Linked DNA regions of Tamandua tetradactyla. The protein of the gene in region 2 purifies or fractionates together with the protein of the main gene of each other region. This does not show direct contact. Links are inferred from orthologs where the notes say so. Each region holds a gene or a part of one and is shown on either strand. Other genes may lie near its edges.

Region 1 (6,347 bases), on a different chromosome or scaffold from region 2:
ACACCACAGGCCATGGCCCCCCCATGGGAGCATGTAAACACACTACCTGGGAAGCCGCAACATGCAGGTCTCGGGGTTCCATTGGTTGGCTGAGGTGGTGCCCAGGAATCTGCATTGGTAACATACGCACACTCGTCCCTCCCCAAGAGATTCTGAGGCAGTTGGTCAACCACCACACGTCAAGAAACACCTGCTCAATAAACATTTGTTGTCATGATTTTCATGCTTTCCTTTAATCCTCCAGACAGTCCTGCAAAGTATGAATGGACAGCCCGTGGCATGGGTGAGGAACAGAGGCTCCAAGAGGCAAACTGGCCACCGAGGTCACACGGCAGGCAGCGACCGGGCCCGGTTGGGTCTGAGCTTGGGTCTGCCAAGCCCCCCAGCCTGAACCTATCCAAGTGGGGTGCCACGGACTCCCCCCACCCCCAGTCAGCTTTTGTCCTGGCAGAGGGTGGGTGGGCGTCCCTGGGCCTTGCTGTTGCCCTCTCCCACCCCCCACTTCCTCCGGCTGCTAATCAGGTCTCTGCAGACCATCCCGTTTCCTGCCTCCTTCACTCCAGATGGCACTTCCTGGCCTTGATCCCTCCCGTTACCTCCTCTGCCTCGAGAAGGGTTGGGGCAGGGGCTGGGTAGTGCCAGGAATCAGGCCGAGATCCTCAGGGGGCCCCTCCCGCGGCTACCCTGGCTGCCATGACCCAGATCCCCCTGGGTCCAGTGGGCAAGTTTCAGGCTGGCCATACCCTTGCTCCTGGCAGGAACTGCAGGTTTTCAGGGCAGGATCAACTTCCCCCTGGACAGGGAGTACAAAGGGAATTGGCCGACAGTGCCAGGACGGGCCGTCCCTGTCTGCCAGCAGCGCCTAATCTGAGCCCCGGCAGGAGGCGACGCTCAGGCCAGACGTGTCCCCATGGGCACGCGGTCCAGGGCCACAGCAGGCGGCAGCGGCGGGGGTGGGGGCAGGCACCGGCTGCGCACGAGAGGCTGGCGCGCCGGCGGGCCTGGCCTGGCTCCTCCGGGACCACTCCGCGCTCCAGGCAGGAGAAGGCAGAGTTAATCCTGCAGGGGAAGGAAACGCTGAGCTGTTGTTTGCTCATTCCACAAACAGTGATTGACCGTTTGATTGGCCCTACTGAATCCCACTCCAAGTCCCGCCTCGAGGACCGTTCTCCTTCCAGCAGGTGGCTCTTTCCTCTCCAGCGTCACCGTCTTCCCTCAGCTCGCAAACAGGCTGCCCGTGCTTTCTGCTTCAACAACAACAAAACCCACCTCCCGGGCCCGTGCTCCCGCTCACTGCAAGGCTTGGGGGAGGAGCGGAAATCATGGCCTCTCACTGCCGCGCCCCCCGTCACTAGCCCCTCCGCTCGCTCTTGCCTACCTCTTTCCGTTCAAACTGCTCTGGTCAAAGTCATCGATGACCTCCATCTTCCAATCCAGCGGTCAGCTCTGAGCCCTTCGCTTCCCGCAGCGCCCATCCACGCGGCCTCGGCAGCTTCCCGCTGCTGCGTTTCCACCTTCCCCGCGGGTCCCTCTCGACCGTGCGATCTGAGCCTCTCTCCGCGAAATCGCGTGCGTTCCCAGGCCCCGGGTGCCGGCCGCGAGCCCGAGGCTTCCAGAGCTCCTGTCCAGGCCCAACCCCGCCGGCGTATCCAGCTGCCAACCTGCCCTCTCCCAGGGGACGTCTCACAAGCATCCTCAAGTTAACATGCCCAGAACAGAAAAATCTATATCCCCTCCCCGCCCCCAAACACCAATTCAGCCCATCCCGCATCTCCATACAGTCCTGGGGCCGGGCCCCCCTCTCAGGGCCTCTGTTTATCCAGCTGTATGATGGGACAAGCTCAGGATTTCCCACCGTTCATCTATGGAAAGCCAGGGGCCTCTAGGCCAAGGACAGATTCCCAGGGCCTGGCCAGGGAGATTCCAGATCAGCTGGTTGGGGGGAGGGAGCGGCAGGTCTAGGTACCTGTGGTTTCTAAAAGCCCCCAGATGGCTCTCACAGCTAACAGAATCTGGACCTCCACTGCACCCCCCAGGCCCCAGGCAGGCACCCCTCCCACCCTCAGCATCACTATGTTCTAAGCCCTGCTCTGATTCTTATTTATCCCAATAACCTGTGAAGTTGAGGCATATATATATATGCCCATTTTACAGATGAGGAAGCTGAGGCTCAGGGAGGGGTACTACTAGGCCATGGAACACCAGAAGCAAAGCCAGTACGCTTGGCTCCCACCCAATATTACTAAACCCCAACAGTGGTGGGCGCCTCAGAGCTGGCACTCACCCCCATCCCCATCAGGGGCCCACCGGTCTCTCCAGAGCCAAAAGTGGCTGTTTCCTGCCTCCCACTCACCCCAACCCTGAGGCCCCTGAACTCTCCCCATTGCCTGGAGTCACCCCTCTTCATTCCCCTGCTCCCCAGCATATCCTAGGTCCCAGAAGAAGTCTCAAGCTTGATTTGGAGCTCTACGTTACCCCAGCTAGGTGGACAAGCGTCCTAAACTCGCTGAGCTGTAAATCGAGGGTGAGGATTCCTGCATTCAGGGTGACAGTGAGGGTTAGGCCAGGCCCTCGGCAAGTGCCGTGCTTGGACTCCGGAGCCTGAAGTCTGGAGGTGGGGGTCTGAGTTCAGCTCCCTCAGCCAGGTCCCAGGCTCGGCCTCGGGGGGACAGCCCGGCCGGGCCTGCCTATCTGCAGCCAGCCCCGGCTCACAAAGGAACAATAACAGGAAGCCATCCCAGGGGGAAGTGGGTCCAGGCCAGCTGGAAAACCTGAAGGGGCGGCGGCCCGGCCTCCCTCGCCGGGCCGGGTGTGGCTCCCCTCGAGAGGCGGTCGGCCGAGCTCCACAGCACACACAGCCCAGGACAGACGGTCAGACAGAACAGAGGCCCTGCTCGGCCCCCAGGCACGGTGAGTGAGGGCTTCCCGCACCCCACCCCACCCCCAGCCCAGGATGGAGGCTCCTCAGCTTCCCGATCTGTGGAATGGACACTGCTGGGTTCCCCCAGGGCAGAAGGGGCCTCCCCAGGCTCAGCTGGGAAGGGTGCCTGCCGCAGGTACACACAGCGGTTCTAGGTGCTGGGGGGGGGCGCATTCAGCCCACCCACAGATGGGCTCCCCAGCTCGGCGTGGTCCCCGGGGCCCACTGAGCCTCGAAGACCACTGGTTCTATTGGTGCCCAGAGAGAATGGGACTGTCCCCGAGTCACCGGGCACACCAAGGGTAGAAGACTGGCACCCAGGGCCTGGCTTCCCCGTCCCTTCCTTCCCCGACAGGAAAGGATTTACCTCGGCCTGTAGCCCCGTTCACTCCCTCCCACTGGTCTCAGGTCTGCACAAGGATGGGCGAAGGAGCCCCAAAGGGGGAGCTCTAAGCCTCAGCCATCTCTACTAGCCAGTGCCCCTATTTTCAGGATAGGCAAGCCGAGGCTCAGCACTGAGCTCCTGAGGCCCTACCTGTGGTTTCTCCCTGCCCCCAACGCCACAGAGGTCCCCTCAGGCCATGAGAGCTGCTGTCAGGAAAGCCGCCCACCCCTACCCCTCCCCCCCCAAAGTGCAGATCCCCAGGGCTGGGGCCTGAGGCCCTGTGGCCTCACTTCTCCAGGAGGCCCGGAAGACCTGCAGGGCCCCAGCTTGGGGACAGTGGACCTGGGAGCAGAGCTCAGCCTTCCCCTCACTTCCCCCAGGACCTCGGGAAAGTCACCTGAAGCCTCCAAACCTCAGTCTGCTTGTCTGAACAACAGAGAGACAGACTCTTGTTGCAATCCATTGTGAGAACTAGAGGTGACGCCCACCGAAATGGGGTTCGTTATTTTACTATGATCAGCCTTCTTGGTGGAGGCAGCAGAGCTGTGGAGACGTAAGAAGTGGAGGGGGATTCGAACTAGAACCCTAAATTCAGGCTTCTTCCAGCACCCCGTAGCTTCTACAAGTCCGTTTTCTGTAAAACGGAGGAAAGAGTCTTTTCAGGAGTCAGTTAAATGATGGGGTGCTCAGCCCCCCGCATGTGAGTAGTGCACAGAAGGGGGACCTTTAAGGAATCGTGGCTGGTGGCTGGCATGGTTGTGAATGTTGTAAAGGTGTTTTTGGCACCTGAGGCACGGCCCAGGGTGTCGTGACTGGTCCCCAGGCCCGCCCCTGGCAAGGGGGTCGCTGGGAGATGCGGGTGAGACGCTGGCCAGTCACCCGTTCCTTGGCAGGCACTTCAGGAGGGCAACTATTCCATGCCCGGCCCTGTACTCAGCACCCACCTTCATCCTCCGGAGGGGGCGAGGGCAGGACACGGTTCCTGCCGCGTGTGCTGGGCATATAGGATCTGGCAGGAGACAAAGGGCATGCCTGGGGAGCCGGGAAAGCCCAGGCCGCTGAGAGGACTCGGGAGTCTGGTGTAGCCAAAGTGTTCTTTAGACCAGGGAGAGAGGAGGCAGGACTGGTGGCACTGCAGACCACACATGCCAGGACCAGGAGCTTTGGTTCACCCTCCAGCCCAGGCAGCCATGAGTGTCTCCTCTGCCCGGCCTGCACCCAGCTCACCTGTAAACCCCCACCCTGGAGGGCAGCAGGTGCCCCTCTGAGGGTCTAAGGAGCTGCTGAGCCCCCAAACAGCACTGCCAATCCCAGCTGATGGGGAAGAAGTGTCTACCGCCTGGGAAGGGGTTAAGCTGCCTACGGTCTCCACCTGACCAATTGTGCTGCTGAACAAGAGCCGGACATGAAGGCAGGAAGCTGCAGGGGCCATACGTATTTTCTCCCAAAGTCGGATGACTCATAGCTCTGCTGCTGGCCTGGGGACGCACAGTGGACACAGCGGCCACCAGCCCAGGAAAATTCTCAGGGCTCTTGCCTGGGTGGACCCATCCCTCCTACTTCCATCACCTCTCTGCAACCCCAGGCATGCCTGCAAGAAGTTGCATTTGACAGATGGGACAGTCTGAGGCCACACGGCTAGTACAAGGCGGGAGCAGGACACAAATGAGTCTCTGTCCCTTCTGACCCCACAGCCATTGCCACACTCCCAGATGGAACTCAAAGAGAAAGAAAGTCAGGGAAACATGAACCTGATTGTTCAGGCCACAGAAGCAGGCAGGAGGACGAGCCAGGAACCTGACGATGCTGAGGAAGGAATGTCCTAGGGGACTGGGTCTGCACACAGGGGCTTGGGGTCTGGCTAAGGAGATGACAAAACACCATGCCAACCCAGGCCTAAGCTGGTGTCACATGGAGAAATCACAGAGGGCTGCCTGGAGGAAGAACAGGAGCTTCAGATGCCATGGGGCCTTGGACAGCCCTTCCACACTCTGGGCCTCAGTTTTCCTATCTCTCTAGAGCAAGGGATGGACCCCAAAGTTTCTAAGCTCATTCAGGGACCCCCAAATTTTTTGCTTTGGGCCACAGCAGTAACAGTCACATGCAGGCAAGTGCAGATGCTGGAAAGAGAAGGAAGTGGGGCCCATGGGGACAGGGACAGGCAGAAAGTGAATGAAGTTTCCTTCTGGAGAACAGAGGGCAGTAGGAGGTGGGTGAGGATAGAAGCAGGAAATAGGGTTGGGTGTGAGTCAACCAGCTGAGCCCGCAGGCCTCAGGCTGGAATGGGTAGGTAGACGGGGGTCCCGACATCACCCACTTACTGAGGACCCACTGCAAGCTGGGCTTCACACGCATGATCTCATTGAGTCCTCCTGACCAGAGAGGCAGTTATTGTTGCCTCCATCACAAATGAGGTCTCTTGTTCAGAGAGGGCAAGGGCAGGACTCAAGGTCACACAGCTCATTAACAAGTTCCAATAGGCAAGTCTTTGGAGTTGTTCTGTTACACCTCCCAATCCCTCAACTCTCAGTCCTGTGGGGAGTGTAGCAGGTGAGTCAGGAACCCCAACACAGGTTCCCAGTCAGGAAAGCCCCAGAGGAGCTTGCTACAATGGGTGTTCTCCTCTTGAAGCTAAGGAGCTGTCCTATTAGGAGACAGGAGGTTGGATTAGATGACCTCTGGGACTCAAAGACCCTGGCACAATTTATTTCAAATTGCAAACAAGGTCTGATGAATTGATGGAATCTACCTCTAAAGTTGCATTGAGAAAGATTCAGAGACTGAGTATAAGTTCAGTGGGTACCAACACTGATTGATTAGTGATGTCTGTCACAGGTGTGGGAAGGGGTGAGAGGTAATCCATGAGCTGTTCTGCCAATCAGATCTTAGAGGCCGCCTGCACACGGGTATATGCATGTTCATCGGGAACTCTTAAGAAGTATAATTTCATTGTCCCCAAAGGATCAAAATTCTAATGGCAGTGTGTCTAACAATGTGATGGGCTAACAGAGGAGCTATTTGGGGAGAGGGTGGAGCAACTCT
Region 2 (6,347 bases):
AAAACTCAAAAATGGACAGCACAATAATACCTAATTGTAAAGCAATCATGTTAAAACACTGAATGAAGCTGCATCTGAGCTATAGGTTTTTTTTTTGTCTGTCTGTTTGTTTGTTTGTCTTTTTTCTTTTTTTTTTTACTATTATTATTATTTTTATCTTTTTTCTCTATATTAACATTCTATATCTTTTTCTGTTGTTTTGCTAGTTCTTTTCCTAAATCGATGCAAATGTACTAAGAAATGATGATCATGCATCTATGTGATGATATTAAGAATTACTGATTGCATATGTAGAATGGAATGATTTCTAAATGTTGTGTTAATTTCTTTTTTTTCTTTAATTAAAAAAAAAAAAAGAAAAAAAAAAAAGGAGACTAAAGCTGCAGCCTGGGAGGAAAATCAGAAGCACTTGGTGCCTTGGAGGGGGAGTGAAGAAAGCATTTCAAGGAGGAGAATGAACAAATGCCACTAATGGTACAAGTCAGTTGAGGACTAAGATTGATTACTGGATTTGGCAATGTGGAGGTCATTGGGACCTGGATAAAAGCAGTTACGATGGGGAGGTGAGTGCTAAAGCCTGCCTGGAGTATAGTATAAAGGGTACTTGGTCAGGTCACTGTCCCCCAAACTAGGCTAATTTTCCCCCAAATCTATTTATATCTCCAGCCCCTGGCTTCACACTCTCTCCCACCCCCCTCCATTTTTTTAGTAGTTTACTTGTTTTAACACCTGCCTCCTCCACCACATTTTAAGTTGTGTGAGAACAGAGATCAAGTCAATTTTTTATTCGCTGATGCTTCCTCAGCATGTAGCAAATGCCCAGGACATGGTGAAGGCTCGTTTCCTCCAGGAAGCTTTTTCAGATTTTTTTGGAGATAGGGAACTGACTTCCCTTAGCTTAAGGGACACACTGCAAGTCTCTCATTTGGACCCTTCTTCCCAAACAAACCCTGCACTTTGATCTTCAATTCTAGTTTTATTTATGATGAACTCTCCACCTGGAAGACTTCATTTCTCTCTTTCGAAATCTTATCCATTCTTCAAGATCAATGACAGTCACTCATTCATTCAAGAAACAGTTATCTACCATTTGACTAGTCTCTGCCCTTGAAGAATGTCTCAGTTTGTTGTGGGACCCAGATGTATAAATGCAGGTAGGTAAAATACAGCAAGGGAAGTCAGGGCCCTGCAGTTAGAAAGGCCCCATGCTTAGAAAGACCTGATGCTTGGTTTAATGCTCTACTGTCACCCTCTTGAAATTCTTAATTTGTGCAAGGGACCCCACAAATAAAGTAGCTGGTCCTGAGTGAAGTGAGGGATATACAAAATTATGGAACATAATCCTTTTGCTTTTTCTCTTGATAGGTGAAACAAATATTTATTGATTGATTACCATGTTCTGAGGTAACCAGGTGAAGTGGGGGAAGGCATGGCCACTCCCAGCAGAGGGGACTACTGGAGAAAGACCCTGAAGCCAGAAACAGCCTGCGGTGTAGCAGGACCAGAAGGGCCTTATCAAGATATGCCTTTTGCTTAAATATCTTTCTTTCCTTCCCTCATGATTCTATTGTCCTTTGTCAGCATCTCTTAACTAGCACAAACCCATCATACTTTGAGTTACATTGGGCAGTTTACCCAGACATGTTCACTAGACAGGCATTGTGCTAGAGGACACGGCTTCCATCCTTCCGAAGTTTTCATTCCTTGGAGGAAGAGGGAGATGTTAATAATAGATGGTGAGCATGTTGAGGGTAGGTCTCTCGTACACAGCTTGCTCAGTGCAGAGTCAGCAATGGATATCGTTACTTTCGGATTCAAAGGCCAATGCTGAAATCAACCTTATTCATCATCCCAGGAGGAGAAACATTATCAGGGTTTCCTATCTCAGGTTAATTAGCAAGCTGTAGTCATTTTTGTTGTTGTTTGCTTTGTAGTATTTTCTTTTTAGGAGTATTCACCGTGAAGATAAGGAACATAGGGTGGGAATAAAATCTTCTAAATGGTCAGAGGGATAGGGATAGAATCTAGGTTTCTTAAGTTTATGTCGGTTTCTATTACACTCTGCCTTACACTGCGGGACCTTTACTTAGCCACAGTTTCTCTTTTGGTAAAACCAGAGGGTGGACTCTGAGCACTTTTCTGGGACACTTGTGACGCAGGAGAGCGCTCCCAGGACCCGGAGGCGCCGCGCCCGGTCGTCGGGCCGCGGCCGGGGCGGGGCCTGAGCCTCACCTGTGCGCAGTGCGGTGACTCACCTCCTCCCCCCATCCCCCGCGGGGGCCTTCCAGGAGTCGCTGCTCCTCCTTCCTCTCAGGGTCACTCAGCCTGAGCGCCCACTAGGGGCCTGGGAGAAAGTAACTCTGGGGTGGGGACCGAGAGGAAGAGGTCCCGGCCTGGCCTCGCCAGGCTGTCTTCGCAGTCCGGATCCCTACAAAGCGGGAGTCGGGCAGGGCCAGGAAGCGCGGGCCTGGGGGCGGTGGCGGCGGGAGGCTCCGGGAAGAGCGCGTCGGAGGGAGGCGCCGGGAAGGGCGGGCGGGGCCCGGGCCACGGGGCGGGGGGCGGGGGCGCCTGACGGCCCATTTCCTCTTCGGAGCCGGACGGGAGAGAGACAAAGCGGTGGCCGTCGGCTTCGGGCTTCGGGATCCTCCTGCGCTCGCTCTGCTCGCCCCAGGTAACTCTCTTGGCGCCTCCCTTCGCGCCGGCACGGGCCCCTTGCAGGGGCTCTGGGGGTCCTCGGGCCGGGCCGCCCCTAGCGGGGCCCCGCTGGCGGGTGGGGTGCGGTATCCTCCGCCGCCCTGCCCAGGATTGGGCTCCGGGTGGGGCGCGAGGCCAGTCTCCGGCCTCTGGCCCGCAGCCGCTTTCCCTGCGTGGCCCCCGTACCGCGGCCTGGCCGGGCGGGGCCCGCGCTTCCCGGCCTCGGGAAGTTGAGGGGCCGCCGCGGCCGGAGGAGAGGAAGTCGCAGGCCTCGCGCAGCTCAGCGTATCCTGCCGGAAAAGTTTCTCCCGGTTTCTAAAGTTTGCTGGAGTGGACTCGGTGTGCGCGCCACGCCCGCGCGCGGCCCCCGGGGCCGCCGGCCTGGTAAAGAATGCCGGCGCGCTGTTCCCTGTGCGAGTGTGACCCGGGAGTTGAGTTTTCCAGTGGTGTTTATCCTTTGGTTCTGTGCTTTCTCTGGCCCCACCTCTCCGTCACCGGCCGCTAAAACTCCCCCGACTGTTGAACTGAGAACTTTTGCTGAGACCGCGCACCCTCATTTCCCGCCCCGAACGGATATAAAAGTTTAATTCTCCCTTTCCCTGACACAGTCTTGTTGATAAGGTGCACCACACCCGTGTGGACTTTTGGCGTGTACCGTTTATTGTGAAATTACTCAAGATTTGTGCTGGTCAGTTGGACACACCTAATTCAGATTCGTCCAAGTTTTCAAAAGTGGCATTAGATTCTTGTAGACTTTTAAAGGATCGTGTGTGTGTGTGTGTGTGTGTGTGTGTGTGTGGTGGTGGGGTAGGGGGTGAAGAGGTGGGGAGAAGCACTTGCTGGAAAAAATTTTGACGGAATGCCTAATTTTGGCTTGGCACTAAAGGCTTCCCAGTAATGCAGGCGTCAGTTGGTCCAAATCCAGGATTGACATCCTCTTGTGTCCTCCTGCGGCTTTGTAACATTTCTGCATTTGTTTTGTGTAGAATTTACAATAATTTCGAAAAGGTTGTGTTTTTAAGTCCCCGGTTAATCTAAGGACGTTTCATATTTTTGTTGAAGGAAGTGATTACATCATTGTATTGTGACAGGATAGACGTTTTGATGAGAGGTTGTTTTGTGTTTTACAGTGATTTTTAAAACGATTTGCAGGGCAGGCCACGGTGGCTCAGCAGAGTTCTCGCCTGCCATGCTGGAGACCAGGGTTCGATTCCCGGTGCCTGCCCATGCAAAAAACAAAACAAAATAAAAAAAAACAACAAAACGATATACAGGTGTGTGTTACTTTAAGAAAATGTGAACTTGTAAATTAAATTAATTCAAGTACGTTATTTTGTTTTACAAGAGGAATGAACCGAGGAGCTATCCTTAGCCTCTGCCCAGTTATTTACCCTTCTTGACTTTTATTAAGTTAAATAATTTTCCCCCCTCTTAAAGGGCTTAGGGTTGAATAGGCCATGTTCTCTGTTCCTAAGGGTTCACGGTGTAATATAAGGCAGACTGTGATAACTGCCTTAGCAATAATATTGAGAAACTACTGTGTATAGATAAAATATTATATAATATTTGCAATAAAGGAAGCTTGTGAGGACATGGGGAAGGGTAATTGGTTTTATTTGGAGAAGTCAGGAAAGGCTTCCAGGAAGGGATGAAATATTTGACTGGCCTTTGAAACTTGAGAAGGGTTTTGTCAGCTGAAGAGAGGGAGTGAGAAGCATGAAAGAACACAGGAGTTTGGGAGTATTGTGAGACAGATCTCCTGGTTTTCCTTATACTTTTGGTTACTACTTTTCAGTCTTTTCTTTTTTTAATCCACTTGTACCCAAGGTTTTATCCTGTGCATCTTGGTTTTTTTTTTTTAATTTATTTTGTATTATCAAACCAAAACAACATACAAACATGAACATTCTTAAAATACAAACGTTGCATGTATGGTGTATAATCAGTGGCTCACAGTATCATCTCATATAGTAGTATGTTCATAACCATGATCATTTTTTAGAACATTTGCATCACTCCAGAAAAAGAAATAAAAAGAAAAACTCACCATACCAAACCCTGTATCCTTCCCTTTCATTGACCACTAGTTTTTCCATCTGTTCAACAGATTTTAACCTTTGTCCCCCTATTTTTTTCTAAACCTCTTACCACTCCCTTTCGTTGTTCACTAGTATTTCAATCTACTCAATTTATCTTAACGTTTGTTCTCCCTATTATTTATTTATATTTAATCCATATTTTTTACTCATCTGTCAATATCGTAGATAAAAGGAGCGTCAAATACAAAGTTTTCACAGTCACATAGTCACTTTGTGAAAGCTATATCATGATACGTTCATCTTCAAGAAGCATGGCTGCTGGGACACAGCTCTACATTTTCAGGCACTTCCCTCTAGTCTCTGTAATGCACCTTAAACTAAAAAGGGGATATCTATAAAAGGCATAAGAATAACCTCCAGAGTAACCTCTCGATTCTGTTTGACGTTTCTCAGTCACTGACACTTTGTTTTATCTCATTTTTCTCTCCTCCGTTTAGGTGGAGAAGATTTTCTCAATCCTTGATGCTAAGTCCCAGTGTATTCTAGGATTTCTGTCCCACATTGGCAGGGAGCTTTACACCCCTGGGATTTATGTCCCATGTAGAGAGGGAGAAGGCGGTGAGCTTGCTTGTCATGTTGGCTGAGAGAGAGAGAGACCACATCTGAGCACAAAAGAGGTTTTCTAGGGGTAGATGACTCTTTGGCCTGATTTTAAGTAGGCTTGGTCTATCCTTCATGGGGATAAGTTTCATATGAATAACCCCCAAGATTGAGGGCTTGGCCTATTGATTTGATTGTCCTCACTGCTTGCTAGAATGTCAGGAATTCTCCAAATGGGGAGATTGAATTTTCCCCCTTTCTCACCATTCCCCCAAGGGGACTTTGCAAATACTTTTTTATTTACTGTTAAGATCACTCTTTTTGATTTATCAGGGCATCCTTTTGGACAAACCTACAAAATCTCATGCCCTATTCAAGGTTCCAGTACTTATGGTGTTCAATTAAACTGTCCATATAAGTTATATTAGGAAATGCTGTAGTCAATAAATTTTGTACCATATAAACATTTTTTTCTTTAGTCTCACACATAAGTTGACGTTTTAAAATATGAATGGCCACCTATTTTCGACACCCTGCAATATGGACATTCTTTTGTTCTTCCTCATGTAAAAACATTTTTTAATTTGTACATTTAGTCACTGTCATTATGTGCTCTAGACATTCCTAGGTTATACCATCTCAGTCTTTATCGTCTATCTTTCTTTCTGGCTTCATTTGTGCCACCAGCCCACCTCCCTCTATCATTCTCACATTCAGCTTCATTGACTGTACTAACATTATTGGGCTACAATTAGGTAGTACTGTGCTATCCATTTCTGAATTTTTAGTCAGTTCTGTTGCACAGTCTGTATCCCTTCAGCTCTCATTACCCAAAATCTTCCCTATTTCTATCTCTTGATGGCCTCTGTTCTTAACTGAAATTCTCCAAGTTCATTCATTAATGTTAGTTCATATCAGTGGGACATACAGTATTTGTCCTTTTGTTTCTGGCTAATCTCACTCAGCATAATGTTCTCAAGGTCCATCCATGTTGTTATATACTTTATGACTTTA

What was found. The genes of interacting proteins can lie anywhere in the genome.
Region 1: the proteins of CTNNA1 (region 2) and CDH5 purify together in Homo sapiens (affinity purification with western blotting; 4 studies listed by BioGRID and IntAct, counting the BioPlex papers as one, with this or other methods). This does not show direct contact. The link is inferred for Tamandua tetradactyla from reciprocal best matches to the Homo sapiens genes CTNNA1 and CDH5.

Annotation. Positions count from the first base shown.
Region 1 is NC_135342.1:59,933,937-59,940,283, forward strand, and holds the start of CDH5 (cadherin-5), read left to right. Parts: upstream 1-2,810; 5' UTR 2,811-2,910; intron 2,911-6,347. UniProt on the Homo sapiens protein: Cadherins are calcium-dependent cell adhesion proteins. They preferentially interact with themselves in a homophilic manner in connecting cells; cadherins may thus contribute to the sorting of heterogeneous cell types.
Region 2 is NC_135346.1:18,443,464-18,449,810, forward strand, and holds the start of CTNNA1 (catenin alpha-1), read left to right. Parts: upstream 1-2,538; 5' UTR 2,539-2,671; intron 2,672-6,347. UniProt on the Homo sapiens protein: Associates with the cytoplasmic domain of a variety of cadherins. The association of catenins to cadherins produces a complex which is linked to the actin filament network, and which seems to be of primary importance for cadherins cell-adhesion properties.